2 linked regions of the Tamandua tetradactyla genome follow. The protein of the gene in region 2 interacts with the protein of the main gene of each other region in a pairwise test. Links are inferred from orthologs where the notes say so. Each region holds a gene or a part of one and is shown on either strand. Other genes may lie near its edges.

What was found.
Region 1: the proteins of NAV2 (region 2) and ING5 interact in binary tests that used the Homo sapiens proteins (3 or more experiments, as listed by UniProt). The two-hybrid records come from large-scale screens. The link is inferred for Tamandua tetradactyla from reciprocal best matches to the Homo sapiens genes NAV2 and ING5.

What each region holds. Positions count from the first base shown.
Region 1 is NC_135329.1:80,715,464-80,719,366, forward strand, and holds the start of ING5 (inhibitor of growth protein 5), read right to left. Parts: upstream 2,487-3,903; 5' UTR 2,439-2,486; coding exon 2,402-2,438; coding exon of another isoform or gene 2,363-2,401; exon of another isoform or gene 2,311-2,362; intron 1-2,310. UniProt on the Homo sapiens protein: Component of the HBO1 complex, which specifically mediates acetylation of histone H3 at 'Lys-14' (H3K14ac) and, to a lower extent, acetylation of histone H4. Component of the MOZ/MORF complex which has a histone H3 acetyltransferase activity.
Region 2 is NC_135334.1:95,257,223-95,261,125, forward strand, and holds the start of NAV2 (neuron navigator 2), read left to right. Parts: upstream 1-928; 5' UTR 929-1,049; coding exon 1,050-1,307; intron 1,308-3,903. UniProt on the Homo sapiens protein: Possesses 3' to 5' helicase activity and exonuclease activity. Involved in neuronal development, specifically in the development of different sensory organs.

The sequences.
Region 1 (3,903 bases), on a different chromosome or scaffold from region 2:
TTCAGGGTTGGGTACCAAACAACGCTGTCAACAGGCTGCCCACTTCAGGAAGGGAGGAGGTGGAGGTATGCTGTGAAACAGCTGCAAGTAGGACAGGGAAGGAGGCCCAGGGTGGGCAGACATGCCGACTGAGACCCCATCGCCCCCTGGCCACATGCTCACTGTCTAGACAGCAGCACAAGTCCTGCACATGGCAGGAAGCAATCAGCATTGTCCTCTTCCCACAAACAAAACAAAAGGGAGGATTGGGGAGGTCACAGGGCTCTCAGTGGATCCCAACCCAGCCCACCAACCCCACAGCTAGTGCCAGCTGTAGCACGTGCCCTGCCTCTGAGGACAGAGGCACCCCCTGTAAGGCAGAGGCGCACTGGGTTCCGCTGGAGCAGAATGGAACGGCTTGAGAACGCTCCTCTGGCTCATAAGAAAGACTCCTCTCTGAAATCTTTTCTTGGAAAGAGTTGAATCACTTTGGTTCCTAATCAATATAGCTTGAAGGAACAAATAATGCCAGAAAACAAGGCAATTACTAGCAGCAAACTATCTGCAGTTCATGAGGATCTGAAAAACAATAAAAATACTAGTGTTCAGCACAAACTGGAGAGAAGTTCAGACGAAGGGCAAAGCAAGTGCAAAAAAGAGGGGGTGGCGTTAGCTGGATGTGAACAGGGCACAGAGGCTCATCCTCCAGGCCATCTTCATCTTCTACCTCACTGGCCAGAGCCAGATCCCTCTTGGAAGGCCCCTCAAGTACCCGAGATTCCACAGTTCATTCCCCCAACATTTGAACTCATTTCAACACAAATTCTTAATAAGTCCCAGGCACATGGGGGGGAAGGTGGTAATGAGAAAAAGAAATCCCTGCCTCCCCAGGACAGTGTCCATTTCCAACTCTGGTGAATTAACATGGTACTTTCAGTCTGTGATGGCTAGTAAGCAGAGCTCTGGGCAAGTAGGCAGGTTGGGGTCACTCTCCCTGAAAGACAGGTGCTCTGATGCTCTGAGGCTGTGGGATGCAGGCAAGTTACATAATCTTTCTGTGCCTCAACTTCCTCACCTGCAAAGTGGGGATAATGGCGGGACCCTCTGAAGGGTATGGGTGGGTTAAAGATGGCCCATGGGAACTGGACTTCAGTGTTACTCAGTTTTAACCAAAGTTATATTGGAGCCTGCAGCCTTCAACTGCTATACTGAAGGGCCCCATACCACAATGCTGCCCTGGGCCCCACACCACACTCCTGGTCAGAACCCCAGCGAGCCCCTCCCATCCACTCTCCAAAGCCAACCAAGTGAATCCCCAGTCCACCCCGCTCAGGCCCAGGATCTGCTGGGCTGCACCCTCCATCCTACCAGGGCTTTGCCTCTGCCACCTTGCAGGACAGTAATGACCCTGTGCTCTTCACCTACCGCGCTCCTTGTCGCCCTTAGGCTTCTGTGACCCTTCTACAAATCCACCTTCCCCATTAGCTGGTGAATTCCATGGAAGTGGAAGTCATGTCTGCAGTCCTGGCACACCAGCCCCAGTGCCCCTCCTCCTCCTTCCTGGGTACCCACGACGTTGGGGAAACACCTCTACTCCACCACCTCCTTGACTTGGCTTTCCCACCAACCCATGCACCTCTGCTCGGGCCAGAATGGGGCCACCATGCCCTCACTGCCTAGGATCCGGTGCGCCACCAGCATCCTGCGCCCAGGGAGGTGACTTGGGGAGCTGGCCCGGGGAGGTGACCCAGAGAGGTGATCCAGTGAGAAGGTCCGGGAAGGGCACCGCAGACCCGCCCACTCCGGAGCTCCGGATTCACACACCGGGTCCGCCAGCTGGGCTCGGGCGGGTCCCTGCACCTCTCCAGGCCTCGGTTTCCTCGTATGCAACCTGGGAGAGTCGCCATCGACTCAAGTTTCCCCGTGGAGCAAGCCTGTGGTCACATGTAAGGCAAAGGGAGCCGCTCCGGACACGGGCACCGGGGAGAGGCTGAGGGCGTCAGCCCAGGCCAGCGGGGGGACCCGGCCACCGAACGGCCCCCAGCTCAGCAGACCACCCCCTCCCGAGAGGTAGCAACTGAGGCTCGGCGCTGGGAGCCCGCTCTGGTACCAGCTAAGACCAGCGCGTCCGGCTGGGAGGGGGCGCGCGGCCGGGGCGGAGGCGTGGGTGGCCCTGCCCCGCCCTCGGCCCCGCCCCTCCGTGACGCACCTCGAAATCGCCCGGAGCCCGCGCCGCGTTCAGGGCCGCGCCCGCCCCGCCCCGCCTCCCGCCCGCGCGCGCGCGCGCTCGTCGAGCGTCGCCCCGCCAGCCCCCGGCCGCCCTCACTAATCTCCGGCCGCGGCGCGCAGAAGCTACGCGCGAGGAAGCCAGGCGGCAGCGGTCATGCAGCGGCCGGGCCCGGGAGGCGGGGCGGGTGCTTACTGTCCAGGTAGTGCTCCAAGTACATGGCGGTCGCCATCTTCCTCCGCGGCCGCGCTGGGGCTCTGCGCGCGGTCGGCGCGGGTTGCGAGGCGAGGGGCGGGGCCGGCCCGCATCTCATTCACTATTCATAGACCGCGGGCACTGATTGGGGCGCGGGCCGCCGGGGCGGGGCGTAAGTAGGGCCCGCCCCCCAGCTTCCGCTCGGCGCCCTGCGGGTGTGCGCCGCCCCGGGTCTGGGCCTCCGCCGGGTGGGCCGCAGCGCCGGAGGGCGTATGGGCGTAGAGGCACAGTTGGCGTGCGGAGGCCTCAGGGGCTGGGAAGGGAACGGTGGCCATTCTCGCGGTTCTAAGCTCGAGGCACCCGGTGTGCACCTCCAGCCTGCACCTGTTCGCGGCCGACCCCTACTCTGGTCATCTGGGCTAACACGTGCAGGCTCTCGGCCCCCGAGGTGTCGGTGAATCCTGTCTGTCATTCCCAACCCCACCCCACCGTCTTGTCGCACCGCAGTCTTTCCTGCCGACCCAGAACTGGAGGAGGAGCCGAGGGCGGACGGCCACCTACGAGCCAGGGAGAACTGCCTGTACCTCCCATCTCTGGTCTTGCCGCTCCGATCGAACTACTTGGGCCTCTGCTTCTTCCCTTAAACTTGCAGAGGATGTGACCCACCCCTCCTCACCCCTCCACTGGCAGTAGCTGCCCCCACAGCATCAGCCTTGGCATCTAATAGACCCACTGTCCAGTCCACTTTGGGGTCCCTTGAGCAGTACCTGTCACGTGGAAAGTGTTGAGAGTATGACTGAATGCAGCCTTTGTAACGATATGATTCAGTGTTAAAGGAATGAAAGAGCGTGAAAAGGTGTATCCTGAAGTGGATGTAAGAGTGCTGGAGGAGAGTAAAAAATGGGTTTAGAAGGTGCAATTCGGGATGATGCTTCCCTTCTGTGTCCAGACTCTGATGTCCTAGCTGCTGGTGCGCCCCTGGACCCAGGTTCCTCCACTCCCTGCCGCCCCAGCCTGGCCTCCCTAGCTGATTTTTAGGCAGAGGACTACCCTTGGGTGATGTGGCCACTTCCAGGGCCAGCCCCTATTCAGATAATTTCTCCTCGCTCAGAAGTTAGCCCAAGGTAGAGATTGCCCAGGATGTTCCCAGCCCTGAGGGGACAGATGACTTATAGCCAGAACTAGCCTGAGCCCCAGGTCCCTTCCCACAGTCCACATGAGTTGCTGAGGCTGTGGGTCACCCAAATTATCATAACCTGACAGATGCAGATGTCATGATTTTGTCATTTAAAACCTATTCCTAAAGGTAGGCCCCCCTTTGTGAACTGTTCCGCAAACTGCAGGCAAATACTGCAACAGATACATACACGTTCTATTGCCAATTTTCATTCATTATTTCCTACCTCCTGAGGGTGCAGGACTGTGACTGTCTTGCTCATCTTAGAATCTAAATGATTGCAGTTTGGGGAGCACCCGTCCAGGCCCCATTTAATGCTTGCACA
Region 2 (3,903 bases):
TCGGCCCGGCGGGAAGCGCGCGGCCGAAGCAATGCCGCAGAGCGGCTACCAGCCCGCTTTGTACTTGCGGCCAAGCGCGGCCCCAGAGTTTCGGCGGCGGCCTGGGAGTTGAGGTCACGCCCCCTTTGCAGGGAGAGCTGCGGCGTCTGATTGGTGCGCCGCGAGCCAATGAGCGCGCCGGGGCGGTCCGGGCTGTCAGCGCGCGCCGCAGCTGAGCCGGGCGCAGCCTGTCCTCCCCTGCGCGGAGCCCTGCAGCCAGCGCAGCCTTCGCGGGAAGCGCTATCGCTCGCGACCGCCGCCTTGCCCAGCCCGCCAGCCGCGCGTCCGGGTGCCGGCGCTCCACGGCCACAGGCTTGCTGCGCTATAGCGCACGCAGCACGTGCAGACCCGCAGGCGCTAAGGAGCTATCTGTCCGGGAAGCTTCTGGGCACTGTCACGCCGAGAGACCTTTCGGGGCTTTTGCCGCGTCTCTGCGTGTCGGGTGACACTGCGGTGCTCGCGAGCAGGGTGGTAGCTCCCTCTCAGGGAAGACGTCTTGAGCTCGGTGCTTTCTCTTTCTCTCCTTCCTCCCCTGCTCGCTCCTTCTCTCGCCTGATCATACCCTCAGTCTCCCGAAGCGCGAGGCGTGCGTCCCCGCCGCTTCTCCTTTCCAAAGGGGCCTCCTCACGTCGGAGATGCAGTGACAAGATAATATGGGCGTCCAAGCCACGGTTTCCCAGGAGGAAAATTGCGAGAGGCAGCAGCCACCGAGCGCCCAGAGTTCGTGAGCAGCCCACCCAGGAGAGGCGTGAGACCCGGCTGCAGCATCTTGCCAGGCGGGAACCGCTGAGCGCTGTGACCAGTTCCGGGCCCCCATCGCGGCACCCTGAAGGCGCGCTCGCCTGCCCGCTGCGTTCTCCCCGACTCGGGGATTTTTTTATTCCGCCGCTGGTGGTGGGCGCCTCGTGGGCCGAGGCCCGGCGCCTGCTCTGCCGCCCGCGCTGCCTTTAGCGGTCGCCTCCGCTGCCGCTGCCAGGGACGTGCTGGGAAAGCCGAAGCCCCGGGAGAAGATGCCGGCCATCCTGGTCGCCTCCAAAATGAAGTCGGGACTACCCAAACCCGTGCACAGCGCCGCGCCCATCCTGCACGTGCCCCCGGCCCGGGCTGGCCCCCAGCCTTGTTACCTCAAGTTGGGAAGCAAGGTGGAGGTGAGCAAGACCTCCTACCCTAGCCAGATCCCCCTGAAATCGCAGGGGCTACAGGAGCCGACGGGGGAGGGGCTCCCGCTGCGGAAGAGCGACTCGGTGGAAAATGGGTTCGATACCCAGGTGAGAGGGTGCTACGTGCCCTGGCACTTATTTCGGGGTGGGGGTAGGGGGCGAATGGTGAATACTTTTTTTTGAGGGGAGTGGCGAGGGGGGAACGGCTAGGTGGGGTGGAAAGGGCTGTCCTTATGGCCGAGGAAGGGAACGGCTCCCCTTGGTTAAGGGGCAGATTCGGGGATGCTCCAGCAGAGTGGGCCGGCGGGTGGGTGTGGCCCGGACGCCCGAGGTTTGCCAGAGGAGCCCTGCGAGACCCGCGGTAAGGGCATGCCTGCTGCTTCCTTCTGTTGGGTATGACCAGGCTGCTCTCAAGAAGGGTGTGCAGCTCTGGAAATGGCAGGTTCTGCATGATCATGGGCTTAGCCCCAACACGGGAGTAATATGTGCTGCTGTATTTGTTTCTGTCAGTTCCACCGAGGACTGGCCCTGCTAAGGGGTGGTCTGCCACCCAGAGGCTTGTTCTTTTTCCCACTGGACTCGCTGCCCCCTGACTTGGCTTCAAGGTTCAGGAAAGGAGCCTGCCTGAGGGAGGCAGTGGTGGGCATGCAGGCCATCCTTTGGAGTGACAGAATTCCCGGTGTGGTGCTGGGCTGCAGTATGAGTGCCGGTGCACCGGCTAAGGCAGGCAGCTGGAGATTCCTAGCGTCTTGGCTGGCTGCTGCGGTGGGGGTGGCTGTCTCAGAATGGCGGCCTGAAACCAAGCCCCTCCTTCCTGGGTGGTAGATCCTGGTGCTGGTAGCCAGAGTGACTGGGGGTACCGGTGGGAAGGTGGCTTAAAGGGAGGTGGTTCATTCTACCTTTCCAGACAGAGTCCACATCACCCAATTCGGCCGTGTGACAGGCCCGGGTCTTGCAGTCTCTTTTAAGGAAGTCAGCAAGGGCCAATCAGGTTCACTTGGCCAGATGCCCTCCTGCTGCCTTTTTTTTTTTTTTTTTTCCTCTTCTGGTAGGAGGGAGTGGGGGCATGCTGTATTTTCTTGGCAGTGTTTCAGTAGGGACTTTTGGGGACAGGCAAACCTGACGGATGTGACTGTCCTGGTCAGGAGAGGCAGGAAGCCAGAAGGGAGGTGGTTTGGGGTTGGTGTCAGGGTAGTGGCAACAGACCAGCTGACCTTTTTGGCAAGTTTTTCTCTGCTGACATTGTCTCCACCTTCTCCTGGAGCTTTCTCTGATCGGAGGCTAGAGCTCAACACATTCCTAGCTTTTCTGGTGAGGCACTGGAGCTGGAAGCTAATTGTAAGCAGACTTCTGGAACTCTGAGCTGGAGAAAGCCCTCAAAGTAGATTAAGCTCCCATGTCAGGCTGATAAGCATGCCCCTTGCTGCTGCACTTGCTAAACATTTTTGGAAGCTGACAGGTTTGAGTGATGGCATGTGGGAGGAAGGCAAGTTTTCCTCCCATGTTTCCAGGGCCCCTCTCTTCTAAAGTTTTATGTGTCTACTCGTTTTCTTTTGTGAGCCAAGGGATTTGTCCAGTGGACTCTGAAAGGGAATGAACACTGGGGTATATGCCTGCGGGGTTTTCCCCTTCGTGCTTGGAAGTAGGGCTTATGAGATGGGGTGGGCTGTACATGAGTGAGCAGAATGGTGACTCAGGATGTGACACACTCCCTCGAGCCTGATGAGGAGGATCTGAAGAATGAGAGGGAAAGTAGAGACTGAGATTGTTCATACCCAGGCAGCTGTTCTGCCTGGTGCCCATTTGACCCTTCATTTAACAAACATTATCGGAGGATGTGCAGTGGGCAGACCCTGGAAAGGTGATTCATCATCCTCTGCCCTGAAAAATGTTCTCTCACTTCTCCCTGGGGGCTGGCATGGTCCCATTTGCTTGGGTCTTTGCTTCCCTCCCTCATCCTTGGTACACAATTCCCAGAACCTTCACCCCACCCCACCCCCACCCCAATCCACTTCTCTTGCCCTCAACAGGTCCTTGTTGCTGACCACAAGGGTGATTTGGAAGGACTGCTGAGGGAAATGATCACCTCTGAGTGGAATATCACAGTTTTTCCCTGCCAGCCCTCTCTGCGTCAGTGTCCAGGGATCCTGGAAGCTCTTCCCTTTGTCAGGTGGCAGATCCTTGTTCTCTTCTCAGCCCATCCTGACATCAAAGAGGCATTGGAGAAAGGGGTTTTGCTTTCTTTGGGCAGCCCACACTCTGACTTACATGGTGCCCAGCCTTCAGAAAAGCCTCCCAACTTCAGCTTGAAGACAGTGTCTGATTTGTGGTCTGGTAGTCCCCCTGCCCCAAAGCTAGCATTTATCACTGGCAAATACTTAGGAGGTGATGAGTTAAATTACAAATGATGTCTCAGGGCCTCTGCCTCCCCTTTTATTCAGTTGATTTTTGACAAAAAGCTGGGTTGCGCAATGGTTAACAGCTTTAAAGTCAGATGGTTAATTGGTGGGGTATCTGATCTCGGCCATGTACTAGTTGGGTGACCAGGTGGATTAACCGCTCTGGGCCTCAGTGTTCTCATCTGTAAAAATGGACATAAACAGCCATGATAACTGGTTTGAGGATTAAGTAAAATAATGTGTGTGGAGGATTTAGCATAGTGTCTAATAAGAAGCACTTCATAAAATTAGGTGATCCTGTTGCA